2 linked regions of the Diceros bicornis minor genome follow. The protein of the gene in region 1 binds, or shares a complex with, the protein of each later gene. Links are inferred from orthologs where the notes say so. Each region holds a gene or a part of one and is shown in the gene's direction. Other genes may lie near its edges.

Region 1 (16,204 bases):
TGGTGGTCACTAGGGCCCACCAGGAATGAGGAACCCTCCAGTCTGGAGAAGCCTTAGACTCCAAGGCTTACATGCCATTAGGCTCAGGGAAGGCTACTTGGAGCCCTGCAAGGCAGTTCCTTGTTGTACCACAGGAGCATACCTTTGCATTCTATTCCTTTCTGCTTCACTTGGCCTATAGTGACACCAAAGCAAAATAAGGACAATTATCTGGAACACTCAGATTTCAATCAATACATATTCATTGATTGTCTATTGTTTGCCAGATAATGCAACAGATGTTGAAGCTACAGAGTTGAAGAAGACATAGTCCTAGATTTCAAAAAGTTCAAGACCTCATGGTAAGAGAGACACATAAATATGTATAATATAAGTGTAGCTCAATAAAAGATAAAATTATCAGCAATCATGGAGCATAAAGAATATAATTAACAAGCCATGTTCAATACCTGGATGAGGAAGAGAACAACATTTAAGACAAGGAGAGCAAAAGCATGGGCAAAGACTTAGAAGATACTAAAAAAAAATGATCTATTTATGGATAGTGGGCATGCCGCATGCCTAGAGCATAAAGTGTTTGGATGATATTAAAAAATATGACTGGGAAAATTAAAGAGCAAACTAAAGCATTGGGCTTTTATTGAGTAGGTCATTCGCAAAATTTAATAATGTTAATAATCACCTATGATGCTTGTAAAATATATTGATTTCTTGTTGGAGGGCCCCTTCTTGAGCAGTGTTGGGCCCAGGAATCTGCACTTTTAACAAACATGTAGGCAGATTCTGGTGGAGGTCATTGGCAGACCACACTTGGAGGGACTGAGAAGGAGTGATGTGATCGGATCTGTGTTTACAAAGATAAGTGTGGAAATTATGGAAGAAAAGTGGAAGAAGACAGTTCAGCCACAGAAGCACTAGTTTGGATGTATCAAAATAGTCTCAGTGAGAGACAACAAGAGTGTGAGTTAAGGCAGTAGCAGTGGGAAGGGAGAGGAGAAGAGAGAAGTGATAGGTAACTTACGAGGTAAATCTGACAGGCATTCATGATCAATTGAATGTGTGTGTTGGAGAGTTGATTCAGAGATGTCAAAATTGTATGAGTATAGGGCAAGAGGCATCACGAGCAGAGACAGGAAATCAGAGGAGTGTAGGGTGGTGGGAACAGTAAGTTCACTTATAGACATTGTGAGTTTGAGGTGCACTATTAGGACTTTTTTCTTCCATCACAGATAGCAGAGTCCCTCTCTGGTTAGCTTAAGCAAATTGAGGAATTTACAGGGATCCTAGGACAACTTAAGGAATCTAAGAGGTATGCCGTTGGCTTTGATTAAGGGACCCAAATACCATCCAGACTCTCTCCTGTCTCTAGTCTTTGCTCTCTGCAGATCTTCTTCCCTTCCTTCTCTATTTCTATCAGAGTCAGTCACCTAGGAAGAGATTAAGCTCTCTTTTTTCTCTCTTTTCTTTTCAGTTCCAATTTCAAAATATTTGGGACAAATCCTGATTGGTCTAGCTTTGATCACATAGTCATTACATGTCAAAAGAGCTGTGGTTAGGAGGCTGGGGTCACAAACCCACATTGCAGCTCCTAGAGCAACCAAGTAGATCAAGAGAGGGGAATATTCCTAGGACAAGACACTGGGCGGATCATATTGAAGTATTAACCAAAGGTGCCTGCAGGACATCCATTTAGAGAAGTCAAACTTGAAAGTATAACTAAGGGAAGTGTTATTTGCTGAGTGCCTGCTGCATAGCAAACATTTTACTTGGTCTCTATCTCATTAAGTCATCCAAACAATCCCCAGTGGTAGCTACCACATTATTGTGCCCATTTTCAGCTGAAGAAATTGAGCTCCAGAGAAGTAAAATAACTTTGCCTGAGGTCACACAGCAGGAAGTGACAAAACTTTTAGGAAAGTCTATACTTTTTAACTGTTGAAACCATATTAGCTAAAGCCATGAGGGTGAATAAGATCTCTCCCAGAGGGTGTAGATGGTGATAAAGGGAGAGATCCTAGAGTGGAATCCACATTTAGGGAGTAAGCAGCGAAAGAGGAGTCATTGAAAGGGACTGAGGAAAGACCAACTATTAGCGAAGAAGAAGAATTTGATGTGTTAAAACTAAAAGAAGCAAGCTTTCAAAAAGGAAGACTTGAGTCAGCCCTGATTGCCTAGTGGTTAAAGTTTGGTGGTCACCTCTTCAGCAGCCCAGGTTTGCTTGCTAGTTGTGGATCCACACCACCCGTCTGTCAGTTGCCATGCTGTGGCAGTGGCTCACATAGAAGAACTAGAATGACTTACAACCAGGATATACAACCATGCACTGGGGCTTTGGGGAGAAAAAAAGAGAGGAAGACTGGCAACAGATGTTAGCCCAGGTTGAGAGACTTTCCCTGCAAGAAAAAAAAAAAAAAAAAAGGAAGACTTAATTAAGAGTGTCAAAGTGGCAGAGAGAAGCCAAACAGGAATAAGGCTGAAAGAGGCTGCAGCATTTGGCAATTAAGGAACTGCCTGGTGCAATTACACTTCTGAGAATCTTCTGTTCCCTGCCCCATTGTGACTGTGATAGTTTAGGCCCTCACCATCTCTCACCTGGACTACTGTAAAAGCCTTCTGTTTTGCATCCCTGTCTCTGTTCTCATCCCCACCAATCTATCTTCCACACTACCTACAGAAAGAGCCTTTTAAAGCAGGGATCACAGCATCTCATGCTTGCTTAGAAAACCTGAGAAGAAGCTCCACATTGTTTAGCTTAAAATATATCTCCATCACAAACCAGTCTCTAGAATCCCTTTCAGCTCACTGTACTTTTTTTTTTAAACATTTATTTATTTATTTTTGTGAGGCGATCAGCCCTGTGCTAACATCTGCCAATCATCCTCTTTTTTTGCTGAGGAAGACTGGCACTGGGCTAACATCCATGCCCATCTTCCTCCACTTTATATGGGACGCTGCCACAGCATGGCTTGCCAAGCAGTGTGTCAGTGTGCGCCTGGGATCCCTACCGGCGAACCCCAGGCCACCGCAGTGGAGCGCGTGCACTTAACTGCTTGCGCCACTGGGCCGGCCCCAGCTCACCGTACTTTTAATTGTGCCAGATGAAGCTACTTCGAGTTCAAGCATATGAAGTCTTATCGGCTTCTGTGCTTCTGCACATGCTGTTCTTACTGCTTGGGAGACTTTTTGATCCTCCTTTTTCCCCAATTTTGGCTGGTGATGGAAAGATCCTGTATCTTGGCTGGTGCCAGGGCAAAACACACAGAACTGTAAACCTAAAAAGTTGGATTTTACTGTATGTAAATTTTACCTAAAAAAGCTCTACTTAAAAAGAAAAGATATCTGGATAATCTCCGAATATTTGACAACTAAAACATTTCTAAATAATCAATGAGTCAAAGAAGAAATTTCAAACAAAATTAGAAAATACAAAGTCAATGGCACAAAAATTATTTTTTAAGCTAAATAAAATTAATAAATCTCTAGCTAAACTGATAAATAAGAAACGAGGGATAAAATGCAAACTACCAATATCCAGAATGAAAGAGGGGATATCAATAAAAATCCTATAGACATCAAAAGGACACTAAATAAATATTATGAACAACTATGTACCAAGACATTTAAAAATTAGATTAAATGTATGAATTCCTTACAAAGCACAAATTATGTAAACTGACATAAGAAGAAATAGAAAACCTGAGTACCACCATATCTAGTAAAGAAATCAAGTTCTTAAATAAAAGTTATTCTACAAGGAAATCTCTAGGCCCACATGGCTTCAACTTTAAATTCTATCAAAAATTTGAGGAAGGAATTAATAATCTTATAAAATTCTTTCAGAAAGTAGATGAGATGGGAATACTTCCAAATTTATTTTATGAAGCCAGAAAAATCCTGATCTCAATATTGAATGAAGACATTGCCAAAACAAACAAAACTCCCCAAAAAACCCAAAAATCAAAAACCAAAAAGCAAAGAAAGGAAAAGAAAATTTTAGACTAATGTCCCTCATTAAGATAGATGCAAAAAGTCGAAATAAGATATTAGTAAATTGAAGCCAGGAATATACACAAAGGAGATGATATCATGACCAGGGGAAATTTATCCCTGGAATGCAAGGTTCGTTTAATACTCAAAAATTTAACAATTCATTTTGGCCTATTAACAGAATAAAGGAGAAAAAGCACATGATCAGCACAATAAATGCAGGGAAAAAATGTGACAAAGTTCAACATCCATTCATGATAAACTTTCAACAAACTATGAATAGCAGGAAATGTCTCTGACCTGATAAAAGGGATCTATAAAAAACCTGCAGATAACATTACACTTAATAGTGAAAAATTGAATCCTTTTACCACTCAGACTAAGAAAAAGCCAATGATATCCACTCTCATTATTTCTATTCAACATCGTACAAGAGGAGCTTGTATGATGCCAGTGCAATAAGGCAAGAAAAACGAAACAAGATACACATAAAGAAGGAAGTAAAACTTTAGTTGTAGATGACATGATCATGAATGTAGAAAATCTTGAAGAATCTGCAAAAACACTACAACTCATAAATGAATTTAGCAATGTTGCAGGATACGAAGTCATTTTATATATTCTAGTAATGAACAACTGGAAAACGATATTGAAAAAATACTATTTATAATAGCATTAAAATCATAAAATGTTTTGGGATTGATTCAATGAACGATGTACAAGGCACATACACTGAAAAGTTGAAAACATGTCTGACAGGTAAAAGAAGACCTAGATAAAGAGATATGTGTATTGTGTTCATGGATTGGAGGACACAAGATTGTTAAGATGTAAATTCTCCCCAAATTGATTTTATAGATTCAATACAATCAAAATCAAAATCTCCGCAGGATTTTGTAGAAATTTTTAAGCTAATTTTAAATTTATAGAGAAATGAAAAGTGCATTGAACAGCTCAAATAATCTTGAATCTTACCAGGCAGTAAGCTGCTTGATATCAGTCTTGGCAATGATTTTTTGGATTTGACACCAAAAGCAAAGGCAACAAAAGCAAAAATAAACAAGTGAGACAACATCAAACTGAAAAGCTTCTGTACAACAAAGGAAACCATCAAAAAACCGAAAAGGCAACCTACCTAAGGGGAGAAAATATTTGCAAATCATATATCTGATAAGGGGTTAATAGCCAAAATATACAAAGAACTCATCCAACTCAATATCAAAAATCAAGTAATCTGGTTAAAAAATGGGCAGAGGACCTGAACAGGCATTTTTCCAAAGAAGACATACAGACGGCCAACAGGTACATGAAAAGGTGCTCAGCATCACTAATCACCAGGGAGATGAAAATTAAAACCACAATGAGATATCACCTCACACCCGTTAGAATGGCTATTATCAAAAAAGACAACAAATAACAAGTGTTGGTGAGGGTGTAAAGAAAAGGGAACCCTTGTGCACTGTTGGTGGGAATGTAAATTAGTACATCCACTACGGAAAACAGAATGGAGGTTCCTCAAAAAATTAAAAATAGAACTACCATACAATCCAGCAATATTACTTCTGGGTATTTATCCAAAGAAAACAAAACCACTAATTTGGAAAGATATATGCAGTCCTATATCCACTGCAGCATTATTTACAATAACTAAGATATGGAAGCAACCTAAGTGTCCACTGGCAGATGAATGGTTAAAGAAGATATGGTATACATACACAATGAAATATTACTCAGCCATAACAAAGATTGAAATCCTTCCATTTGCTACAGCATGGATGGATCTAGAGGGTACGATGCTAAGTGAAATATGCCAGACGAAGAAGAATATCATATGATTTCACCTTATATGTAGAATCTAAAAGAAACAAAACAGTGAATAGATAAAACAAAACAGAAACAGACTCATAGAGACAGAGAACAATTTGGTGGTTGCCAGAGGGGACGGGGCTGGGGGAAGGGAGAAACAGGCAAAGGGGATAAGAAGTACAAACTTGCAGTCATAAAATAAATAAGTCATGGGGATGTAATGTACAGCATAGACAATATAGTCAACAATATTGTAATAACTTCGTATGGTGAGAGATGGTAATCAGTGTTAGGGCGATCATTTTGTAATGTAAATAAATGGCAAATCACTATGTTGTATGCCTGAAACTAATACAATACTGTATGTCAACTATACTTTAATAAAAAATAGATAAATAAATAAAGATGGAAGCGCCATGAAGGGAGAGACTCTGGAGGGCTGACCCATCACTGACCTCTGCGTCAGGCAGGACATGGTGTGTGCTCTAACAAATCTTTGTAGAATGTATGAAAACAATTGTTTTTATTTTTTGTAAAGGCAGGACCACTATCATTTTTAAAATGACAAATTGAGAAAACATTTCTTATATATATGAAACAGGATTAATATCCTTCTCTTATTAAAAGTTCATGCAAGTTGTAAGAAACTTCATTAAGACCCGTAAGATGGACAAGTACGTGAGCGAGCTATTCACAATAGTGGAAATACAAAGATTAATGAACATTAGAAAAAAATGTTGAATTTTAATAACAGAATTGCATGTTATCTGTCAAGTTACAAGATATTTTTAAAATATAAGAATACTCAATGTGGGTTTGGGTATAAGTATAATAGGTCATCTCTCTCATACAGTTAGGGAGGAGTTAATATGAATGTTTTAGGAAATAATTTTGCATTCTATATCCACAGCCTTAAAAATATGTACTACTTTTGATCCTGTAATTACTTTTCAGAGACTATATCTTAAAAAAATTATCTGCTACAAAGAAAAAAAACTTTATGAAAATGTTCCTCAGAGGGTTAAATATGGTAGTAAAATTTTGGCAACTATATGTTCAACAATAGGAAAATGGATTTAAAGTTATGGTATAGCCACACGATAGAATATTATGCCGCCATTTAAACTATCTCTATAAAGATTTTAAAATACCATCGGAAAATAATTGTTTTAAAAGACATAGTGAGGAGACAAATTATCTTGTGATCGCCAACAATATAAAATATGCATAGAAAAAATAATAATGATAGCATATGCATTAGCTTTTACTGAAGGCGCAGGCACTCTTGCTGCACTTTAAAGGGATTATCTCATTTACCCTCACAGCAAACCTATGAAGCGTATATTTTCTTACTTGTCCCATTGAACTGGTGAGGAAACTAATACACAAAGGGATTAACCAAGTTGTCCAAAGTCTCTGATCTGACGGGTGGGATAGCAGAATTCGATAGCAGGCTGGCTCTCGCCTCCATGCTTTTAATCACTGCGCTAAACCGCTCGTTTTTGTTAAAACATAACAAAATGTTTTCAGTAGTGTTACAAGGGGCTCACTGGTCTCCCTTACACTTTTCCATAATTTCCAAAGTTTCTATAAGAAACATGACTTTTAATCATTATAAGTGATCTTAATCACAGCAATTTTTTTTAAATCCCAAAGTCAGCTTGGTTTTGTGTAGTCACACTCAGACTGTATATCTGGGGATTCTTTGCACCACCCCTCCCCCAGCCCCGATTTCCAGTTCTCTCTCCCCAGATGCCCTGGGGAGCCTCTGGTCCCCCTTCCGGCTTCTTCACGGGGTTTCCCCGGGTTCCACCCACAGGACCCGGATCCCCATGCTAGAAGCACGCTCTTTTCCCCCTGCGCCTGCGTCGCAGCAAACAGCTCTAGAGTGCAGTTGCCAAGCTTTCAAAGGCCGCAGCACCCGAGTCTTCGGGACCCTCCCGGCTGCCGCCCCACGAGGCCCCGCAGACCCCTAGCGGCCACGGGTTCAAGCTCAAGTCTCTGGCGGAGGCCGGGCGCTCGCCCGAGAACGCAGCGACCTTCCCGGGAGAGAGAGGAGCCCGCGGGAAGTCCCCCAGGGTTTGCAGGGCGGGGATCGGTCTCTGCCCACAACGTCCGAGAGGCCAGAGGCCGCTGGGCTTTAGGGTTCAAGTCCGGGGACCAGCCCCGGCCGCCCGCGGTCCTGGAGCGGTGCCCCTTGGGGGTCGCGCACGGAGGCCGCCTGGCTGACCATCCTTTATCAGATTAGGACCGTTGCTGAAAACAGTGATTATTTCAAGCTGAGAACTGGCCCCTGAGAAAATCGAGTGTTATTTAAAGAGTTGTCTGGGACAAAATTTACAGCTTGCGTCCTGGGGGGAGTTATTGTGGGGTGAGTGTATTTTAAACACGTTATCTCCTTGTGAACTAATTCTCTCTCTGGTCGGGAGCAAGAGTGGGGGGAACTGTTTGCGCAGCCGTGGGATTCAAAGTCCCCCTTTCGGGGAGCTAGAGTAAGGGTCGCCCTTCGGTGGCGCTGCGACTGGTCCAGAGGACTAAGTTTTCCGGGTCGCTGGGGCAAATATTTCACTTGAGCCTGCCTTGCTCCTGGGAGACATTCGCACGCCCTAATACAGCCCGGCAGCGGGTTCCTCTGCCTGGAAGGAGCCCTTCATTTCCCAGGTCCGATCACGGGGAAAATGGTGAAACCCCCAAATCCGCTTCTTTTTGTGGTTAATAGAAGGGCGCATAGAGAGCCTGGGAAAAAATTTACAAGTGCAAGTGAGAACCTTGCGAGTTTTGACATTTGAAAACCCGACTCTGGTGACTCATTGAATCCTATGTTGTAAGTTTCAGCGTCTCACGAAGTCTGGGGGACGCGTAATGCTTGTGTTTGTAAAATGTTCGCATCGCGCACCCCAAGTTTGCCGCTCGAATGCGGAAAGCTGGGCCGAGCGGGGGTGGGGAGGGTCTCCAGTCCGAGGCGCTGCGCTCGGGGCTTCTGCCCAGCTTCCTGCCTCGGAGGAGTCGCCGCGTCCGCCCTAGCCCAGAGCAGTTTGTGCAATTCAGAAACTCGATAGGAGGCAGCAGCTGATCTCCCACCACCCTAAAAATAATCCGCTCCGGCGCCCTGCGTGCTTCGGCTAGGGGAGGAAAACTCTGCCTTCCGAGTAAGTGAGTCCGTGTCTTTTACATAAATGTCATTTAACAATTTTAAGAATAAGTGTAAGCTGTCGATCTCGATCTAACATTTCGGCAACCGAAAGGCGCCCGCGCACTCTCAAAGCGCCTTTGCCTTCACGGTCGCTATTTCTAGGATCAGGACACCCGGCCCCAGCCGAGGAGAGAGGGCGTGGGGATCAGGTTTCCAGCTTTACTTACAAAACTCTGCCGGCTCCTACTTAAACCAACTGGAGATAGTGCAAGGAGTTATTATTACTTTTTTTCTCTTCGACATTTCCTGTCTTGTTCATGAAGTCGCTTTCTATCTGCTTAATTTTTGTTACTCTTTACTTTTTAGGAGTTCTGCGTCCCGGTTTGAAATGTACACTTAAGACAGTGTAGGAAGCCGGTGTTTTGAAGGTAGCGCAAGTGCACCAGTAGGGGTGTGAAGCAGCGTCAAACGATTGCTCAAGGTATTTATTTGTTTTTATTTGTTCAGTTTGGGATAAAAAAAAAAAATCCCATTGAAGTGTCCGTCTAAGGAATCTTATCTGCTGAGTAGTTCCAACATTTCCTTTGGTCTGTGATAGAACTTCAGTGGGTGCATTCAGATCAGGCATTAAATCAGAGGTCAGTGGTCATTTTTGCTAGTGATTTTCCTACTTGGATCTGGCATTCATAGATAGACAGACAGACAGGCATCTTTTAGTACATATTTTACGAACCATCTACTGAATAACTTCAAAAACTTATTACATTTGTTTTCGTAAGTGATCTAATCCTGAAAATGCCCTAGAGAATGATAAAGCCCTAAATAATTTCTTTAAAATGTCATGTTTCTGTATCACAACATAATTTGGTTAGTCTCTGAATAACTAAAGAACGAGTTATTTTGTATATAAGAATGAGAGCTTTTATATTGCTTTTAGCATGTTTTCTTCAGGTGTTTCCAGCATGTTAAATTCTCTGGGATTTCTACTCCGTTAGAACTGACGCTTTCTGCTGGATGAGCAGAAAAGAGTGCTGGTTTTCACTTACTTTATTCTCTATTCATCAACTAAATCCAAATTTTGTAACTCTTGAGGGTGTGGAACTTCATACAGTGCATTTCAAAGAATAAGAATACTGAGGGTAGTATCCTTGCCTTGAAATCGTAAATTTGGTCATCAAGGAGTATATTCTTTTTATGTTTTCTGCCCTGCAGACCATCCCTATAATCAGAGTTTCACTTTTGATGTTTGTCTTCCAAGTCCATTCAGTCAAGTTCTCCAACCCTATCGACTGTCATAAACACTTGAACATCTTTCCCTGGGTTTATGCTCGTGGGGAGAAAAATGTCTTGTCTTCCTATCTGGCCTCTCTTCCCTCTCCCGCTCCTCGATGCTTGGGCCTCTGTCTGTGCTCAGCTGAACTAAACAGCTCCAGAAGGGGCGGGGCTGAAGGGAGTCACGTGACAGAGCTTAGCCAGCAAGAGCAGCAATTCGTTCTGTTCCCAAACCGTTCCTAACGTAACCAGGGCTCTGGGAGGGAAACCCTGAATGACAATTAGAGATTTAAGAATTAGTTAAAAATCCTGATTGAATGAAATGCGTTTGCTAAACACAATAATTATGAACATATCTACAAGTTTACTCCTTCCCTCTTTTTGTCCATGTCGAGTTGTAATATGGGCTGGCTGTTACAATGCACACATGCACATGGCATGTTGGAGAGGAGGCTAAGGGACAAGGGGAAAAGGATGGAGGAGGAGGCAGGAAAAAAAAAAGCGAAAGGAGAGATGTGGTGAGAGGTAGTGAGCAGGTTGGGAGCCAGGGGGAAATATGCGAGTAGAGATTATGGTAGAAGGAAGAAATCATTCTAAAGCTTTTACTTGATTAATCTGAAGTATACACTTTAGTATGATTATGTCATTGTATGTTTCCCTGTCTGGCAGATCATAACCTTTACATTATACCAAGAACTATTGGGATTGGTGTGTATATGAGGAGTGTAATCTGATTTGTACAGTCTAAGACCACAGGGACTGTTTCTGTCATGCACTATTGGATTCCTAGTGCCTAGCGTGTGATCAATATCAATAAGTATTTTTACAGTTAATTAATTAGTGGCCTAGAATCCCAGTCATCAGGCATATGACTAAAAATGTTCTTTGACTTCTTCGCGTTATTATAGTTCTCTGATATTTTCTTTCCACAGTTACACACATTTATCCAAAGATTACTTAATTGGTAGATTTCAAGATTGATTAAATACCAGGCAGACAATGCTTATAGCTAATGAAATATATGTTTTACAACTTCAGATTATTCTTTAGCATCTGGCTCAATGATAATGATTAAATATCAAGGTTTATAAATGTGGCCAATTGGAATATTATGATTTTGGATAAAATTATAAAATTAGCTTAAGTAAAAATTTTCTTGTTCGTTCTAGGAGACAGTTTATACATGGCTTTCAATTAAGAGTGGGCTTAGAGTTTCCTTTTATCATTTCTACTAAATAAAGGAAGTCGTCTTAGAAATTCCACTACTAGCTATTATATTTGTTTCTGCTTTTTCCACCTTTTTTTCCAGTTTTATTGAGAAATAATTGACATACATCACTGTATAAGTACAAGGTATACAGCGTAATGGTTTGACTACATATATTGTGAAATGATTACAGCAATAGGTTTAGTTAACATCCATCATCTCATGTAGACACAATATATGATATAAAATTTCCATTTTACTGTTATTTAAAGAATCTCAAATCCTTTTTAATTCTTTTATCCAGCTTTGAACCTTAATAGTTGGTAACAATTTGCCAAGTTCATAATCTCATTTTGAATTTTTTAAAAGTATAACTTGTTTTTAAAAATGAGAAAAAGTCTCAACTAGAGAGCATATCAATGATTTATCAAAAAAGGGCGTTACCAGAAATAATATGCGGGAGGAATTCCATGTAAGCATTTACAGACTGTGAACACATAGGCTTTCTAACTAGTTGTTCTACTCATGTAATGCTTTATAAAACTTTTGCTTGAAATTTGGTTTCTCCAATAGTTTACCTACTGTTGCCAATCTTTTCTGTGTAACACTCTTTGTTTTTTTCTAGGAAAAAATATTGTTTGTGACCATTGCTAAATCAGTTATCAATGAAAGGGAAGAGAGAAAAGGTACAACTTTAGTTATTCAAACTTTTGCCAACCTTTAATAATCTAACTCAGAATCCAGTGTGACAGAAATATGGAAAAGTAACCAAGTCCAGTGAGGTTAAATTCTTAAACTGCTACTTATTTTAATAAGAACAAATAAGATATTTTCTTTAAAAAATAGGTTGGAAGCTACGTGATGCAGTGGGAAGGACATAGTTTATAGTCAGACTTGTGGGTGTGGCTCACTGCTATTCTGCTGGTTGGCAAGTTACTGAACCCTGCTGAACCTCATTGTCCTCTTCTGTAAAGTATGAATAACTCCACTAACATTGCACGGCTGTTCTGAAGACTAAATGTATGTGAAGTGTCCAGAATTTAGTAGGTATTAAATAAATAGTAGGCATTATAAAAGAAGTTTTCAGAATGCTAAAGCTCTTGCTGGAATTTCACAGTAGTGTTTTGATGGAGTAGACCCTTGCTCCTATACCATCTGTTTCAGCACAGCAGTGAAAGGAATTCATTTAAAATGTAAGTCAGAGAGTGTTACTCCTCCGATCAAAAACCCCCAGTGGCTCCATCTCACTCAGAGTAGAAGCCAAAGTCCCGACAGTGGCCAACAAAGCCATGGGTGATCTTGTCCTCTGTTTCCTCTCTAAACTCATCTACTTCTACGCTAATGGAATACAGATTCCAATTAAAAGACATCCTTTGTTTCAAAACTCAGAGTACATTTCGTATAAGAATATTCTCTGACTACAGGACCTGTGTAGTTTCATTAACTTGTCACTTGAGTTATATTCATTTGTCTTAGCGCTTGAGTCTAATCTTCAAAGAAAGGCTAATTGCCATTTGCAACCACAGTGGTCTCTGTGTTTTAGTATTTCCTGCAATTAATGAAATGTTGCAGTAAATTGTGTCCAGCTGAAGTTGTTTGTTAATGCATTTTCAATGAATGAACATGGGAAAGGATTTGATATGACACCACTTTGTCTTTTCAGTCAATAGTTTCATTGTTTTCTCCCCCTTTTTCTTATATATCACCACTTTTGTTCTTTGAAACCATTTTAGTCCAACAAACACTCCTTTGAGGTACCACTATTGGTAGGTGTTAATTATTATATATTTTCCAAATTAAAATAAAATATTTTTCTCTGGAAAAAAAACACTTGAAAGGGAAAACTTACAGAATGTATAAGGCCATTATAAGAAGCTCTCAAATGGCTCTGGCATAAGATTTCCTATTTCCTCGACTGCAAAAATAAAGGAGATTAATTTTATGATGTAATCTCCTCTTTAAGGTTATAATTTATGAAAAGGAATTTAATAATAAGAGGTTCTTTCTCTTTTCTCTCTCTTTTAGAGTAAACCATATAAGAAGAAATGAGCCTTTCATTCTGTGGTAACAACATTTCTTCATATAATATCTATGACGGCGTATTACAAAATCCTTGCTTTGTGGATGCCCTCAACCTGGTCCCCCATGTCTTCCTGTTGTTTATCACTTTTCCAATATTGTTTATTGGTAAGTGATCTGCTGTCCTATATTATATCACCTCATGTTTATAAAAAATCTTATTAATGGCTGAGATTTGGTATAATGTTGACTTAATTTCTTCAACATGAAAACTTGTAGGTAAGTCTGTGAGAAAAAAACAAGCAAGTATTTTGTGTTTTCCAATGAAATATATTTTTGGCATATGATATTCCATAGGTAAAATAGAATGCCTTGTAGAAATGGCCTTCAAAGAGCAGCAGCAGTTTTTTAAAAAGAGAAAGAGAATTATATGAGATGGATCTAAAATATTTGTTTAGCACTTGCTTTGTGCTAGGTGAGGAGAATGGAAAATGGGTAAACACACAGTACTTGCCTGGAATATTCACTGGAATTGTCCAGTGAAATAGATGTGTCAAAGTCAAGAGAAATGACTATACCACATTGTAAGCCCATTTACAGATACAGGAACAAATTGTCTTGGGCATTAACCTGCGAGATCAACTAATTCTTCTTGGGGCTGGTGGGGAAGATTGCGTAGAGACTGACATGTGTGGGGACTTGAGGATGCAGAGCCTGCAAGTTAAAGTAGGAGTGATGAGGGTGTGTTACAAGTAGAAAGAGTGCATTGCAAACTATTTGGAAAGGAACTAAAAATATAGTTTTTCCTAGTATTTTACAGTCTACAAATACACAAAATCTAATTATTTAGAGCAATTATGTGTAATTTGTGTAATTTCCCCAAAACAACCAAAATAGAGCTTTTAACTTTTTTAAATTATAAAATAACTTTCATATATAAAAATGTCAGAGACTAATGTAATAAACATCCATTGAACCTACCACCACTCATCTTAAGGAATTTGATAGTAAGAATATAAGTGAATCCTTCTGTGTGCCATTTCCTGATCTTGTTACTCTTCCCACAGCCTACATTCTTATCCCTTCGAAAGAGGTAACCACTATTTTGAATTTGTTTAATATTTCCATGCATGATTTTGCTCATAAAAATAGATGAAAAAGCTATCCGACTGATTTTCTTAAGAAAGTTAGCATAATTTAATGATCTGCTTTAAAAGAGGGTTTAAAAATAATTTGTATGATTTTATTTCTTCATTTAACAAATATCGAGAAACTACTATGTGCCTGGCGTTCTAACAGTGATCAAAAAATTTCCATTATATGAGATATCGTATAATGCAGATGCCAACATAACTCTTGGTACATAGTTAGTCATGTTAAACAAATGTATGGATATTAAATATATTGGGACTAGAGTGGCCACATATAGAAACACTAGTTTTTTATGTGGTGTTATTTTATAGGACATTAAGAATGCCTTTTGGCCAAAAGTAGAACATCTATTTTTTTTATCATAATTCTCACAATTAGTAATTCACTTTTGACATCTAATTAGCTTCTTGAGAGCAATTACTGTGAATTATTTGCATCTCTAGCATTGAACACAGGCTGGCAAAACGGTATTTGAATGAAGTAGAATTAGAGTGAAGATCGTTAAAGGGAAATGGTGGAGAAAAATGCAGACCGTTCATCTATAACATTGGCTACTTGAGTTAGTGAGAGATCATAAATACTAAATCTCAAAGAAGTATCAGGTATAAGGAAAATTATAATGTTGAACAAAAGACATAGAGCTTGCCTGCAAGAGTTTGCGGCATAAATTCTAGTGGAGTATGTTAAATGTAACTAATCTTCCAATAATGAAGTTCCTTTGGGAACAACTAAGACATATAGAATCAATTTTATTTTCAAAGAAGGCTTTAGGAGTCCCTTTTGTTCATACAGAAATTCCTTCCTGCAGTGTTTTAAGCACAAACTCCCATTCATTCTTGAAGTATGTGAGGCTTCTCTACAATCAAAAAATAAGAAAAAAGGTGAAAAAAGGACACAAAAGTGGGGTGCTGTCCTAGCATGCTGTATATGAGTTGGCATTATTCTAACTATAGTTTTGAGGGGAAACCATCAAAATTTTACTAAAATGTAATCTTGAATTTTTTCTTCAGTGGTGAGCTCAAGTTGAACCTATAATGTTCTTGATCCTGCTTAAAAGCTCCTCAATGAATAATACTTTAGTTTTCTTTGAGAAAATATCACTACCACTGTTGAATAGGGCTGGCCCAGTCATAAGTTACCATTTTTCTCACATGATATGCATATGATTAAGAGTTAACTCAACTAAGGAGTCCTATATTTCTTCACTAAATATGGCTATTTTGTTAGTCCTCCCACAGATCCCATGTTTTGAAAGATTTTAGATATCAAATTTCTTTTATTAATAGCATCCTTAAGTTGGTTTCTTTTTGAGTGAATCAGAGACCTGTCAGTAAGAGCTGTGATTCACATGAAATAACCATGTTGTCACCCAGAATTGGTGTTACTTCCAAGCAATGCAACAAATGTCAGTGTGTTAACTTAGGCAGTCTTGTAAAAATTAATTGAAATTGTTATTTTTTTTGAAGTAATGAAAACAGATCAGGATTTCCTAGAGAGCACTAAGTTTTCATGAACCCCCAAAGCGTATCACAATGTAAATTATTTCCATGATTATAATTGATCCTTTTGTTTATCTCTTTACTTTTTTCTTTTTTTTCAGGGTGGGGGAGTCAAAGCTCAAAAGTACA
Region 2 (15,973 bases), about 140 kb from region 1:
ATAACAATCTACAAGAGATTTTAAAATATGTAAATATGTATGTTTGTCATTAAGCATGTGAAAATGTGCTCAACATCATTTTTCATCAGGAGTATAAATAAAAAGTGCAAATAAAAGCAGCTACCTACCCACTAAAATGACTAAAACTACAAAGACTGACAACACCAAGCGTTGGTGAAGCTGGAACTCGCATGGGCTACTGAGGGGAGTGTCAATGGCACGACCAGCATGGAAAACTGGCGGTTTCTACTGAGGCTAACTGTGCGCCCATACCGGAACTCAACAATTCCACCCCTGGGGATGTACCCAAGAGAAATGAGTGCCTACGTCCACAGAAAGACTGGTACAGAAATGTTCATAGCAGCTTTATTCGTAATAGTCAAAAAAACCCCCAAACAGCCCAAATGCCCATCAACAGGAGGATGGATAAATAAATGGTGGCTTGTTCACACAGTGAAACGCTATTACTGGTATATAAACCGACATGGCCAAATCTCAGAGATAAGATGTTGAGAAAGAAGGCACTAAACAGTACCTACTGAATGATTCCATCTACCCAAAACTCAACAACAAGCAAAACAAACTGATGAGGAAATAAGCCACAATAGAGTTAGCTCTGGCAAGGAGCAATTACAGCCTGGAAAGGAGCAGGAGGAAATCTTCTAGGATGATAGACATGTTTTATATCTTGATCTGTGTGATTTGTGGTGGTGGTTATATAATTGTATACACAAGTTTAAAAAAGTGGGAAAAAGAGCAAATTAATTTAAAATAACCAAATAGAACTTTTAGAAAAGAACAAAAGTTACTAAAATTAAAATTAAAAATTCAATGGACAGAGTAAACAGCAGTTAAGCTTAGATGATGAGAGATTTCTTTCCATTGGAAACACATCTAGAATGTACATAGAATGCAGTACAGAACAAGCTGATAGAAAGTATGAAGAACGGTTAGAAGATGTGGAGGATAGAATTAGAAAGTCTGAAATAGGGTTCTCAGGGGGAAAAAAGAGATTCAAAGAGCCAAGAACTATTCCTAAAAAATTCAGACTCAGACGATTTCAAAATTATTGCACTTTCAAGGAGTACGTCAGTCCCTATTCTATATAAGCTATTCCAGTTCACAGAGAAAGAATATGCATCAATTCTTTTTACAAAGACACATAACATTTATCCAAAACCAGGCAGAGATAATACAGAAAGAATAATTCAGACCAATTGTGGTTATAAATATTTATGCAAAAATCCAAAAATATTAGCAAAAACAATCCAGCATTATACTAAAATAGTAATTCACCATGACCAAGTGGAGTTTACTTAGGAATGTAAAAATAATTCAACATTTTTTAAAATCTAGTGACTTAATTTGCCATATCAACTGGCCAAGAAAGAAAAAAAGATCACTTTGGTATTTGCTAAAAGGGCATTTTATGTAATTCATCATCTATCATTGATTAAAAAAAACATAGAAAAGTAGAAAAAGCACACTACCTTAAAATGATAACTATGTAAATTATATATTCCGGAAGCATTTTCTCAAAACCACTAAGAAGAAAAGCATGCCTGTTATCACCAGTATGATTTACTATTGATCCGAAAACACTAACAAATGCAGGTTAAGAAAAAAATAAAATAATAAATAATAAATTAATTAAATACAAATTAAGGAAGTTGTGTCAAAGTTAAATTATTTGAGAAAATATTACGTTTTAAGTGTCATTGGTCTGTGTTAAATCCTTTACATACTCACCTCAGTTAACCTATCCAACTCTGAGAGGCAGATGTTAGTGTCTTCATTTTACAGAAGTAAATTGAGGCTCAGAGTAATTAAGTATGTTGCTCAAAGCCACCAACCAAGTAAATGGCAGAACTTGTAATTTATTCCACATCTTTCTGACTCTAAAATTCTGTGAACTTAAAAGATCATAGTATATTTCATATATCTTCCATAATTCCTCAATTTTTTAAAAAACCATTGACAAATCCATAATAAATTTCTGTAGGCTTACAGAGAGGAGACCATTTTATTACCCCATTTATTCTAACAATAAGTGAGGTAATTTGACATTTTAAATTAGCAACAAATATCAAATATTTAATTCTAGTATGAACCTGTTTAGAAAAATGTCCTTGTGGAAGCTTTTCTGGCACACATAATTTTTTACCTAAAGGAAAATTCAGGTCATTTAATAGTAGAAAAAGAGTTCCTGGCAAATGATCATTGGGGCCAATGAGTCTAAATATTACTTTAAAACTTTCAACCTCTATAATCCCTTCTGCAGCTGGCATTTTTGAAAGGTGGCAATAAGGAGTCACCCTACAGAGTTCTGGAAAATGTCAGGTTTCTCTTTCCAAGTACCACATGAGTCACTGATTTTTCAAAACATTGACGTGAAAGCTTAGCAGTAGATCAGGACATTGTTGGGAACCGCCCTTAACCTAAGAGCGTCAGAAAAGCCTGTGGAGAGTTCCTATAGCAGGACAGATCCCAGAATCATACAAACTTGTCTTTCTTTGGCACGAGAATATCAAGGCATAATTTCAAGGTCTGGAAAAATGAACAGTGACAGCCGCTATTCCTCATCTTCTCTTGGAAAAATCCCTACGAGCTTTATTTAGTACTAGCATTTTGTGCACTACCGGCTGCAAAAAATGACCACAGGTACTCTTTAGTTGATTGAAGGAACCACTTTTCTCTTGGAGACACTATTATAGTACAACAGACATGTTGGTTTCCTGGGTCCTTATTTTATTACCAGCGTCTTGGCTGACTCTCTTCCAGTCCCCGGTATCTTGATTAAATTCAAGAGTTGAAGAGATGCCAGTACAAGTATTGGTTACTTAGCACTCTGAAGGTTAGTGAGGTCTCAAAAATAACACATTATAAAATGATATTATTGTGTTTTCTTTTCTAAGTATTAGATTAGGAAAGATTGTTAAATAATAGTTAAAGGTATCTGTGGGTCTATACCTCCCCCACTTCCCCCCTCCACACCCAGCTCTGAGATCTTTTTGACCATCACCAAGCTAAAACCAGCCCTAATATATTAGTAAGAATAGACATTTATTAAGTACTTATCATGAGCCAGTCACTATCCTAAGCACTTTATGTGGATTGTGTCATCTTGTCCCCATAACAATTCTATGAGTTTCTTATGCCTGAGTGGACAAGAGAATCTCCAGGGGAACTTTTAAATGTGCTTTATTTTATTAGAAGTATTTATACCTTCTCATTAAAGATACTTTCATTTGGGGGCCAAAGATCTTATATCTTATTCTATCCTTGCTCAATAAACTCCTAGAGGGGAATAAATTAATGTAACCAGAGGTTTCTCATGTAGCTGGACCATGGATTAACAATCATCCCTTTGAGATAGCGTCCCAGTGAGAAAAGTATAGGGTTTGGGATCAGATGTTTTGAGTCTGTGGTAACTTTCCACCTACTAGGTATTTGATTTTAGGTAAGTCATTTAGCTATACTCTAATCGACTCGTGCGTAAAATGAAGAAAATAACCTACCGTACAGATGTCTTAAGGATTAGGTCAATGTTTTTCATAGCCTCGGAAATGCAGACTCTCAATCTTCATTCATTGGGTAAATGGAGAGATGGCCAGATCAATGAATACACTTCCTATTTTTCCCATTTCGTCTCCTGCTTTTCCTCTTCTCCATTCGATATATTGATCTTGTTTCTATTCTTCAAACATATCAAGTCACTTTCTTTATCCTTGTTCTTGAGCTGCCCAAACCACTCTTTCCCCAGTTGATCACTTGGCTGATTCTTTTTTCAGATTTCGCCTTCTTAAAGAGGTCTTTTCTGAACTCTATGAAAAATTGTCAATCTCTGGCCCCCATTACCTGCAATACTTATCTTGCTTTATTTTCTTCATAAATCTTAACGCTATTGATAATCATGTAATGCATTACTTGTCTTGTTTGCTAACAGCTTCCTCGCCAACAATGCCTTGGAGCAAGGAATTTGTTTTGTTCACTTAGATATATATTAAAAGGTAGTGATTATCGTTAACGATCCCCCCTTCTTGACTTGCTGATTCACACCTGTGAGCTGGCATAAGTTTGAAGAGTTGAGCATGCAAGCTGGATGGAGGTCTTTTTCATGAATGGTTCTGACGGATATCCTTGAAGAAAAGGGGTGACCTCATTTAAAGGAAAGCGAGGCTTTTTTGCACATAAATAGGTATATATCTCAAAAAGAAATGTTCTCTGAGTTCCTTGGAATAGATAAGGAAGAAGAGTTATATTGTCATTCCCATTTCACGACAACTCCAAAAAAGTGAATTTATAACATGCTGTTTTGATTACTAGTTTATGTAACAGTTTTATTAAGCTGATTTCAAAGCAGTATGTTCCAAAGTGGTTTATATGAGGACACTAATAAAGCAGCATACCAAGAAAATAGACCAACTGTTATTTGGGCTGCTAACATGAATCGTTTCCATTGTCATTTTGAAGACTCTCCAAATTGTTACGTCTAATACGGCTCAGGAAATCCAAGAGTTCAAAATTCACAAGTTGAGTCAAAGGCAAGATCGTCAAATTCGAGGACTTCACCCTTTATCTCAAGCGTAATTTCAAGGACTTCACTGATTTGTATTTGATATTCAAAGCAGCAGACAATTGGGAAAAGCATCAGCCGAATACTTTCTTTGCTTGTTTGAAGGCACCTGACAAACTTTGTTTCTTAAGAGAATGAGAATTGCAGAAACTTCTTTATCCTCAAATAAAATGCTCATAGGATCTAAAAGGAACCTGACAGATGTTGACTTACCAGTGAACAGACATCTTTGAATTGCTTCCCAGTCGTATACATTTCTCTGGTATCCAATATGAGCAGATTCTAACAGGATACCTGAATAGTCAAGAAAATCATAGGATTTAAAAAGTCAGCTCTGACCGAAACTTATTACTGGTCTCCTCTAGGAGTAGCGAATAAATAAGTCACTCCTGAAAGCACAATTAGGAAAATTATAGAACAGTTAAGAAAACACATGTAACTTTTAGCAGACAACGGCAAAATAGTGATTAAATAAGTAGACCAACAAAATCAGCCTGAAGTAGTAAATGTGTTCTTGAAAAATTAATTGATTTCCTTCACAGATTTCTCAGAAGTAAATTTAAATGTTCACTATTTGGACCCTAATATGAGAAGAGGAAGATCAGAAGGGGGAGGACTTAGAGATCAATCAATAATAAGTATTTATTAACCAGCTACTGTGTGTCTAGAAAGACCTTTGTGAGATACAGGTAGGTCTCCATTAAGCTCAAAATAAAGTTGTAAAGAGAAACATAGCCAGCAAACGTCAAGTTTAAACAAGTTTAAGTATTGCTGACCTGGAGTGGTTAGGGGAGTTGCTGAGGAAGGAAGGAACAGAGAGTTCAAAGGGAGGAGAATGTTAGGGTGATGAGAGAGGGGAGACATGATAAGTAAGGGAATCTTTGCAGACAGGAATGGCCATAGACGTTAGAGATCTCCAAACTTCAGGTTATCTATGTGGGTTCTGAGAAATGGTTGCAAGAGAGAAACACCATGTTGCAAGCACTTCTTTCCTTAATTTGGCAAGTATTTATTGAGTACCTACTTCTAGGAGCTAGGAACAATTCCAGTCACTGGGTTTGTAGAAATAACAAACAACTTGCCCTGATGCAGTTTCCACACAGTGCAGAAAAACTAGCTAAAGAAAAAAGACATAAAGGGTGGGTTAAAAAAAAAAAAATCGGGAAGGCAATGGAAAGAGAAAAGAAAAAGAAAATCTGTAATATTTTTATAGTACACATGTTTCATGTTTTTTCTAAATGACTGCTATTTGTTTTGAGGCATTCTATTGTCAAAATTTTACTTAGTGACTTCTTGTTGTTTATTATGTGTATTCTCAGTGACCTTATTTTGAATTAACCAATGTAAATTATTGACTAGTAAAAACTATGGTATAGCTTGTCATTTCAAAAGTCAAAACTTGACTTAAAATTGCATGTTTGGAAGGATATATCTCCTTAGGAAAAAAAAATTGAGTCCTAAATACACATTACAGCAAAAGAACAGAATTTTCATAGGAGTCAGATATGGATTTATGCATTGCAAATCTTCTCATAATTTTCGTCAGCAGTTAATCTCTTCTCACTCTAATTTTTCTACTCTTTCTCTGTCACTACAACAAACATCACAGTCACCTCCGACTTTTTCCTTTTCCAATACTAACTCTGTGTAACACTCCTTTTGTGTATATTTGTATATTGCCCACTGACATTGCCTTTTAGCCTCAGATCTCATTTCTTCTCTAATTAATGTAATAGTTTCCAGAGTCCCTTTCTGCCAGTCACAGAATTTTGGCGCCTGAAGGGATTAGAAATGCAACTCTTAAAGCCATCATAGTCTCTGCTTCCTGATCCATCCTCCTAAAGCAGGCTCTTATTGTGTTGTTCTCTAATCAAAATTTTTCCATGACTTACCACTTACCTATTGAAGACTGTCCAGACTTCTTTGTTGAGCATTTAAGACTGTCTGCATTTTTTTTCAAGGCCTCAGTATGTTTTTCAACCTTACCTTTTCCATTCATTGACGCAAAAGTATTTTTTGAGCACCTCCGTAATTTGAGCTGTGCTAGAGGCTTATGATACAAAGATAAGCCACAGCTCTGCCCTCAGTTTCACCCAAGTGGGGGCGGAACAAGCGCACGAATAACCCATGTGTTGAGAAGAGTGGTGACAGGCTGCCCAGGGAGCATTGGACTCAATCCTCCCATCCTGCTATCTTGCTGACGTTGACCTCATCATTGCTGATTAAATTAGTTTCTGTTACTAAAACATGGCCCACTCTTGTCAATACTCCATAACTTTGTTCATGATGTTCCCTCTCTGTGGAATGTCTTTTCTCTGTTTCTCCATACCCCCAATATATCTGTTTTTCAAAGACTAGATCAGGTGCCACATAATCCGTGAAGTTTTCCTCAGTCTCAATATCTCTCATTTGAATTCCCATGGCACTTGAGTTATATTTCCTTTCTCATTCTAATCACATCCTTGCTTGTATTAGAATTTATTGTCGAAGTCCTGTCTCTCTTTACTATGAGAGAGTCTGCCTCTTAAGAACACCAACTATGATGTTATATATAAACTTAAAACAACTCTTCACATAATAGGCATTCAATGAATGTTCCCCTAGCTAAAATAATAGGGAATAAATTGCACATCAAACTCAACTGTAAAATAGGACAAGGAGGGGATTAACTATACCAATTGATCCCCACAAACGTGTAGTAAAACTACCACAAAAATTAATGTAAAAATTAAAGACAATACAGAGGTCAGCGACGACGAACAGACTAGGGTCCCAGGCTTGAAGCGGTTAAGCAGATCTATCCACAAGGGGAAAAGAATTATTCTTCCTTTGCCTTCATTAAAGACTAATTTTAGGTCTTTTAGTAATTAAATGAACACATTGTTTATGTTCCATACACTTTCTACCCCGAGTCTTGGAAATTTCCAAGAATTACAGTTTCCATTAACACAAGCGCCAAATCAGGAGGCTTGATCTATGGGAGAAAGTACATTTGTCTTTGCTGGCTCCTTTTCAAAAAGCTATAGAAAGATATTTACTGTATAATGTTTCTTGTGCGCAATTGCTCTCTTTTTAACATTCAGGCCATCTAGACAAGACGGAGAAGCTGCAACATTTCAGAAAGCAACCAATTACTGAAGAACGACACTTTGAGTTCTGAAGTGTTAACAGCAGTCCCTGTTTGGGGTAAAATTTCTCACTGAAAGAGACTTCGAGTAGTTTTTCTTTCTTCTACTTTTTTTGTCGTTTTGGGGGTGTGTGTGTGTGTGTGTGTGTGTGTGTGTGTGTGTACCTCCCTGAGAACTAGTTTTGACTGGTGAAGAAATAGTTTACTACGGTGGGTTTCAGAACATCTTCCACCTGTATCATCCCTACCAGATGGAAATTTAACGTAAATAAATACGTGTGCACACAGCTTGAAAGCCTCAGAAGACTATTTTCTGATCTCTATATCTGGTTTTATTCAATCCGAAGTAGCCCAGTTTATCTACCCAGGTTACAAAATAAAAATAAAAATTAAATTCTCTTTACGTCAGTGGACTTGGACTGAATCACTTTCCTCTGAACAGGGAGCCTTTTACAGACGTGCGGATCACGCTGGCGGCTGGGGGTCGCAGCTACCGGGAAAAGAGCTGGTTCTACAGGTCCCGCCCTCTCCGTGTCGCCCCTCCCTCTGGACCGCTCCCTACCTCCCCCGGAGGCGCCCTCCCTCTGCACCCCCTCCCGCCTGTGGCTCGGCCACTTCGGCGGCCTCAGAGGTCTGGCGCGCGTCAAAGCCCGAACTGGGAGGCTGAGTTGTGGAGCATCATCCCCAGGCTCCTCTCCCCCCAGCCCCTCCTCCGCCCACTGCAGCGGCCAAGGGAGTAGAGCTGAGCAGGGGGAGGGGAAGATCTACACCCATCCCCCTTCCTCCAGCCCTCCCCGCGTTCAGATTCAATTGCACCTTTTATTATTTTAACTCGTCTCGCTAGGACACGCGGCCCCCGGATCTGTCCCTCCGGCATTCGCGATCCCTGCTCCCGCGCGCCGGCATGGGAGAGCAAGGGACCCGCCCGCGGTCGGCCGGCGTGTGCGGGGAGGCGCAGCCGCAGCGCCCGCTGCCCAGAGTCTGTAAGTTTCAACGCTCCTCCCGGGGCGGGGAGGGGGAGGCTGTCCGCGTCCCCGCAAATGATTTAAAATGCAAAACACGGCAGAGGTTTACAGTGCTGGATGAACTTTTCTGGGCACACTCTTTTAATTCTATCCGCAGCCCTCAGCGTATTGTCCGGGTTTTTTGTTGCAGCTTGTACGTGTGATCCCTTCGTTGTAAAGAAGTTTCAATTTGTAATATTATGAGTTCCAATGGGAATTTTTTTTTAATACAAAACTCATACTTCTTTCAAATTTAAAATATTTCTTCATTATTTTCAAGTTACATAGCACATTGCTTATTATTTTGTCAAATTACACTAAACACGTTATTTATAGTGCGCCAGAGGCTACGGCCTTTTCTTTGCCTACTTCTAAAAATAACGGAGGAAAAATTTCCCGTCTTTACTTTTAATATTGCTATATCATGTAAATACTTTAGTAAACAGATCGTGATACCCAGCTGGTCTTAATTTTCGTCATAGACGCCGCCCGCTTGTATCCATGCACTAATCTGCAGACGCGGTTAATCTCAGAGAATTATCATTGAGCCTGCTGTTTACAAGGCTCCTGGTTTTGTTTAACTAAGGCTATGCCCATATGTGTTCAAAATGATAAGGACCATTGAAACAGTTCTGATTCAGACCAAATAATTTCTCCGGGATCCCAGAACCGAGACACAAACTAGGGTCATGTTTAGATTAATAAAATCATACCTGTAGTTTTGCATGTCACCTCTGGGGTACAGACATACCCCAGAATCAGAGGACTGAAGAGGAGAGGAAATTGGGGGTGGGGAGGGAACAGTTTTTAATCATCGTTTCCCTCGTGCAGGAGGACGGGTCTCGAGGAAAGGAAAGGCAAGGAAGAGACAGGTGGATAGGCTGGCTATGGTGACAGGACGATGTTGGCCAGAAAGAGCATCATCCCCGAGGAGTATGTGCTGGCTCGCATCGCCGCGGAGAACCTGCGCAAACCGCGCATCCGAGACCGCCTCCCTAGAGCCCGCTTCATCGCCAAGAGCGGGGCCTGCAACCTGGCGCACAAGAACATCCGTGAGCAAGGACGGTTCCTTCAGGACATCTTCACTACCTTGGTGGACCTGAAATGGCGCCACACGCTGGTCATCTTTACCATGTCCTTCCTCTGCAGCTGGCTGCTCTTCGCCATCATGTGGTGGCTGGTGGCCTTTGCCCATGGGGACATCTACGCTTACATGGAGAAAAGTGGAATGGAGAAAAGTGGTTTGGAGTCCACTGTGTGTGTGACTAATGTCAGGTAAGAATGCAGTGGGATAAGGCAGGGGTTGAAAACAGAAAAAATATTCAACTGCCCTCGTGACGTTGTTATTTTGTTGAAAGTGAAATAAAGGGTTTGCTTTAGTACCTTCCAAAACAAAAAAGTAAAAAGACCAACACATTAAGAAACTTTGAAATGCAGCTTTCTGGATGAGGAGTCTCTGAAAATGTGGAGCTTCAGTGCCTTGGGCTAGCCTTGAAAATATTATACCGGTTATTTAAAAAATGGTTGTGGTTCAAAGAATTCCATAGGGTGCCTTACTCAAAAAAAGTACACAGTTTTCAGCACGAAAGAGCTTCTGTCCATAGTTCCAGTGTCCACAAGTAAATATCTCTGATCAACAAAAAATATTGTGTTAATGCTACTAATATTTTTCCATGACTTCTCTTACCCATGACATTTTCAGAAATAATAAGAAAAATGGGAAAACACTTGTGAGAGGTGTCCTAGATTAAAATGCACTAAAAATGAAATAAATATAAGGCCTTCTTTATCAAGATTATCTTAAATAGCTGATTGCCTGCATTGGATTCCAAAACTAAAAGTTATGCTAAGATTCAGAACAAGAAAAAATTAATTTTTAATGGAAATTGGTCCAAAATTTTCATGGAAGAGATTACGTAGACTTAATGTTGTGGCTTTCTTTCAGAATTGTAATAGAATAGGAACAAGACAATTCTTAGATTGCCTAACTTTGCTTCTTTCTCTTATACCAAGTATTTCAAAGATAAGTAAAGTGAATTTGGTTTCAGTAATGCTCCTCTCATATTTTCATGTAGCCTGATAACATTTAGTTGGGGTGATTTGTCTCTTAATTTGTTTTGTTGGAAAATGGAAAGAGAGAATTTATATCAATTGCAAACATGTTCACTCTGAAGCGAAACAATAGTAATAATACTAGAAACTTTTCCAGGACATTTTCTGAATAACATTCCAAATTCAGTCATGCCCAAAGCAAAGCTACTTGAACGAGCACCATTCTGCCAGGAAACTGTAAAGAATGAGACCTTTACTGACCCTGAAATCTTATGAAACTAGCATACCACTGCAAGAAGCAGAAACTCAGACTGTGAACTTGTCCATCTTTCCATTTCCTAAGTAACTGCAAGGCTAGCATATCAAAGAGGGATGCAGTGTTTGTGTGCAGAGATTAGACTCCACAGATCTCAGCTCAGATTTTGAGGTGGGAAAACTATATTGAATTCATCCATTGCCTTTACCTTCGAGTAGATATTATTTTCTTGTCTTAAACTTGTCACAAACTTTTATCTCAAAGAAAATGTAGGTGAAAAGTGTAGGTGATCATCAGTACACCAGATAATAAAGGAAAAAATTAAAATACTATGTTTAACAGGTACTTGTAGGTCAGATAGCATTATCTGTAATATTTCTCTTGGTGAATCATTTTCCTATCAAGATAAATTTTTAATAAAGATGCAGTAGACACTCATAAAAAGGGATAAACGAAAATGACAAACCTTGAAAATAAATGGCAGATTTTATTCACAAGACAAATATATTGGCTTTTCCTGTGAAAAAGAAGTCGTTAAGTCATTAAGGAATTTATTAAAGGATAAATCCTCAAAGTGACATCCTTTCAAGGATTTTTTAAAAGAACTTTACAGAGTGCATTGGTTGTTAAAAGCTGTTTTGCATGTTCATTCTGCTGATGCTTTCCTGCTGGTGTGAACATTAAGTCATGAGAATGAGAAATGGCGTCACAAATGCAATGAGACAAAGTTGATTTTATCAGCATGACAATTTTAGCATTTTAAATTGCACTTATTTAAAAAAAATTATTTGACATCTTTTAAGGTTAAAATTTTACTGGTTTTATTTTAATGTTATGGCACTATTTATACTTTAATCTCAACATACAGTTTAATTGTAACAAACCATGCATAATAAAAATTTTCTCACCAAAAATATAGAAACAGAAAAATCTCTATTCTCTCCCAAAGTGGATTTAAAAGATGACTAATAATATTTCTAATTCTCTGCATTTTCTTTCCTTCCATAAGTTCAATGTCCCACCATTTCATCAAAATTGGAAATAACTTATTGTGATGGATACTCCCCAGTATGTCCAAATAACATTTTACCATCCTCGTTTTAGAATGGCTCACTTTCCCTTTCATGTGGATCACTTTCTAACATGAGTCAGAAAATAAACCCACATATTTCCTCTTATTATTCAGCCTGACTCCCTCTCTAGCAGAACAAACAAGCAGCTAAACACTTTCATCTCTTGAGGTTGTTTAGCATGACAGGTGTCCACAAAAGGCTGGGTCTTGCACCATATAATGTTTAGAATTAAGTTATTTCATGAAATAAACAATATACAAAATACGGCACGTGAATGGCCTCCCAAGCCATTAAAACAAAACATTTGGGAATATTCATCATTAGACTGCTCCCTGAAGTCTGTATACATTATTAGAAATCAGTGTTGTGTCCATGCCCCACCCCCGGGCTCCATTCTTATTCTTTGCCATGGTTTTGGATCACATGACATATGTGGTGTGTAGCTAGTGCAAAAAGCAGTTATTGTGGTTTTTCGTGAATCTTTTAAAACAAAAGGAGTGAAAAAGGCAATTTTCACACTCCACTTAAAATCTAATCAAAAGAATCATCTATGTGTGCTTGCTTACCCTTCATGGTATCCTACCAAAGTGCAATGTGTAGAGTCAGTATTCATATGTTTAAACATTTTGCTCATTCATTGTGTGTGGCATTAATAGATAGATAATACTTTGACAGATGGACTATGCATGGCTTAGCGCCTATAAAATTAGGGAAGTTTGAAATTGGAGTTGGGGCAAACACAGGGCTAACATTGTTTCCATTAAGAAGCCATGGAAGTATTGGTTATATAGTTACATGAATAAATTAATGGTAAGAATAACCAAATGTGGTGCTTCTCAACCAGGGGGATAAATCAGAATCACCTGAGAGATTTTGAGAAGTCTTACCCAGGTCTACCCTGAACCTACCTGAATGAATTCAGCAGTGTTCATTCACCGAGATATGGAAGAAAAGTGCAATTTGAAAAAGCTTCCCAAGAAACTCTTGACACTTGTTGACCCCTTCCCTTTACCTTTTCAGAGCACTAGGCCAGAAGTGAGAGGATTCAAGCTCTTACTAATTATATGATCTTGACACAGTTATTTACTAATCTCTGCCTCAGATTCTTCCTTTAATGAAAGAATTCGGTATTCTCTGGTATTCTCTTTCAATATTCTCTAGATCACTTAGAGAACAAAATGAGACAATTAATAAGAACACATTTTTTTCCAAATGGCAAAACATTCTTTTCTATTAACAATAGTAGCATTTTTGAATGATGTGTTTTTGTACCACTTTTTAGCACTGTGCTTTCTCTATATAAGATACACAATAAGTATTAGTTAATAAATATGATTTTTAAAGGTTGTAAATAGTAAAAAGTTGACTCTTACTCAGTATTTTCCATATGACTCAAGTCACTTAAATACAGATATGCAATAGATAATAAACATCTACCTGGTAGAAAGTTTTGCAAAGTAAACTATGCCTATAAATATAAATATGTGTATTTATAATTTTAATGCTTTGACATAAATAAGCCCATCATTACATGACCTAGAAAACATTAATAGAATTGTATTCCAGAAGTCTGGATGTGATGCATGTGGGTGAGAAAGAGAGAGAGACAAGTATTTGTGTTTAGAATCAGGCATTGGACAAGTGAAGTTGGCTAGTCTTTCCAAAAGCATTTAATAGCCTTTGGGAGAAAAAAATGAAAAATTCAGCTTGGCATGTTATTTCATTATTCAAAATTTGACCTGATGGCATTGTTTTCTGTTATCATTCCTTACAGGTCTTTCACCTCTGCTTTTCTCTTCTCCATTGAAGTTCAGGTGACAATTGGATTTGGAGGGAGAATGATGACAGAGGAATGCCCTCTGGCCATCACAGTTTTGATTCTGCAGAACATTGTGGGTTTGATCATCAATGCAGTCATGCTGGGCTGCATATTCATGAAAACAGCTCAGGCTCACAGAAGGGCGGAAACTTTGATTTTCAGCCGCCACGCTGTGATTGCTGTTCGAAATGGCAAGCTGTGCTTCATGTTCCGAGTGGGTGACCTGAGGAAAAGCATGATCATTAGTGCCTCCGTGCGCATCCAAGTGGTCAAGAAAACAACTACCCCTGAAGGAGAAGTGGTGCCTATTCACCAGCTGGACATTCCTGTTGATAACCCGATTGAGAGTAATAACATTTTTCTGGTGGCTCCTTTGATCATCTGCCATGTGATTGACAAGCGCAGCCCCTTGTATGATATCTCAGCAACTGACCTCGCCAACCAAGACCTGGAGGTCATAGTAATTCTGGAAGGAGTGGTCGAAACTACTGGCATTACCACACAAGCAAGAACCTCCTACATCGCTGAGGAGATCCAATGGGGCCATCGCTTTGTGTCTATTGTAACCGAGGAGGAAGGAGTGTATTCTGTGGATTACTCCAAATTTGGCAACACTGTTAAAGTAGCTGCTCCAAGGTGCAGTGCCAGGGAGCTGGATGAGAAGCCTTCCATCCTTATTCAGACCCTCCAGAAGAGTGAACTGTCCCATCAAAATTCTCTGAGGAAGCGCAATTCCATGAGAAGAAACAATTCCATGAGGAGGAGCAACTCTATCCGAAGGAACAACTCATCCCTCATCGTGCCCAAGGTGCAATTTATGACTCCAGAAGGAAATCAGAACACATCGGAATCATGACAGCAAGACAACCCCAAGAAAGACTTTTATCAAGTATTAACAGTTTATGCAGGGCACTATCAGACTGTACCAGAGCTGGAATACAATAATTTGTCCTTCTATATCTTAATGCACTAAATGATGTTCATATTCAAACAACAGCACTTTCTGTGTCAATAAACGGTAACACACAAGGTGGAGGATTCATGGCTCACACTTGTTTCATACATGCAATATTTGCTGTGATAAGCTTAAGTTATATATAAGAAATAGTATGCTCTAATTTCCCTCAATTTGAAGCACAAAAATTACATTAATAATCATAGACCTTGAATACAAAAGTTGGCCAAGGAATGGTTCTGTTTGAAATGCTTAGTGGGTGAAACCACAGATCCTCTCTGTTTCTGTTGTTGCCTCTGGAAATGCAAATAGAATGGGGGCAAAACCCAAAATTGTGTTGTTGACACCTTTTGTTTATCAACCAGTATGTTGCCTTCTCCTTTTTCCATGATACTGCACCTGGTAAGAAGCCTGAGGCAAAAACTGCTTAGCTCTATCTGCTTCTGAGCAGATTCTATTCATTCACTTGGTTCTTCACAATGACCTCCAGAGGTTTCCTCATCCTCCTCATGGCAGCCGTTGGCAGAACTGAGCAAGGAGCTTTGGAGAAAAGCTAAGAATATTCCTGTCTTATTTAGGACTGGATTCCCAAAGGTGATAGTTACTTCTTTTGGCTTCTCACTTCTTCTTAAGAGCTCCCACAGGGAAATACTGTATTGACTATTTTATTAAAATATTTTCTTTGTATTCATTGTAGTTTTGTGATTTCTCTTTCACAAAATTATCCCTAGTTGAAGCTCAAGAGAAAAACATTTTTAGAGGCATGTGAAAGAGATATCATACAGCCATAACACTTACCTCTGAGAGCGCGCTCTCTCTAAGAGTCCCTCTCTTTGAGATCTATTATTCCTAGGGAACTACATTTTTTGTTTCATTTTGATTTCATTTCATTCCAAGTTTTGAAATGTTCTCTTGGCTTTTCTATCTGAGCCTGATGTATCATGGAAATCCTGTAAACTTTTTTCTTTGAATCTCTGACTCCCCCTCTTAAAACTATACTTCCTTCCCAATATATCTAAATTCAGTCCTTGCCTATGTAGATTTTGCATTATCTCAATTGCTAAAGTGAGATTTTTCTATCAAAGCTTGATTTACTCATCCTTAGCTCCTT

The links.
Region 2: the proteins of ABCC9 (region 1) and KCNJ8 are in contact, whole or in part, in a cryo-EM structure (PDB 7MIT), measured with the Rattus norvegicus proteins. The link is inferred for Diceros bicornis minor from reciprocal best matches to the Homo sapiens genes ABCC9 and KCNJ8. Residues at the interface, in XP_038963045.1 of Rattus norvegicus: Phe5, Ile10, Tyr13, Asn14, Ile15, Val19, Asn22, Cys24, Phe25, Ala28, Leu29, Val32, Val35, Phe36, Phe39, Phe42, Pro43, Ile44, Phe46, Ile47, Gly48, Trp49, Gly50, Ser51, Lys55, Gln57, Ile58, Asn129, Phe130, Lys132; in NP_058795.3 of Rattus norvegicus: Met1, Leu2, Lys5, Ile7, Ile8, Pro9, Glu11, Tyr12, Val13, Leu14, Ala15, Arg16, Ile17, Ala19, Glu20, Asn21, Leu22, Leu45, Ala46, His47, Lys48, Asn49, Gly54, Arg55, Phe56, Leu57, Asp59, Ile60, Thr62, Thr63.

The regions. Positions count from the first base shown.
Region 1 is NC_080756.1:40,336,838-40,353,041, forward strand, and holds the start of ABCC9 (ATP-binding cassette sub-family C member 9), read left to right. Parts: upstream 1-9,299; 5' UTR 9,300-9,407; intron 9,408-12,030; 5' UTR 12,031-12,091; intron 12,092-13,430; 5' UTR 13,431-13,450; coding exon 13,451-13,592; intron 13,593-16,176; coding exon 16,177-16,204. UniProt on the Homo sapiens protein: Subunit of ATP-sensitive potassium channels (KATP). Can form cardiac and smooth muscle-type KATP channels with KCNJ11. KCNJ11 forms the channel pore while ABCC9 is required for activation and regulation.
Region 2 is NC_080756.1:40,473,583-40,489,555, forward strand, and holds KCNJ8 (ATP-sensitive inward rectifier potassium channel 8), read left to right. Parts: upstream 1-8,393; 5' UTR 8,394-8,686; intron 8,687-9,538; 5' UTR 9,539-9,608; coding exon 9,609-9,982; intron 9,983-13,862; coding exon 13,863-14,763; 3' UTR 14,764-15,518; downstream 15,519-15,973. UniProt on the Homo sapiens protein: Inward rectifier potassium channels are characterized by a greater tendency to allow potassium to flow into the cell rather than out of it.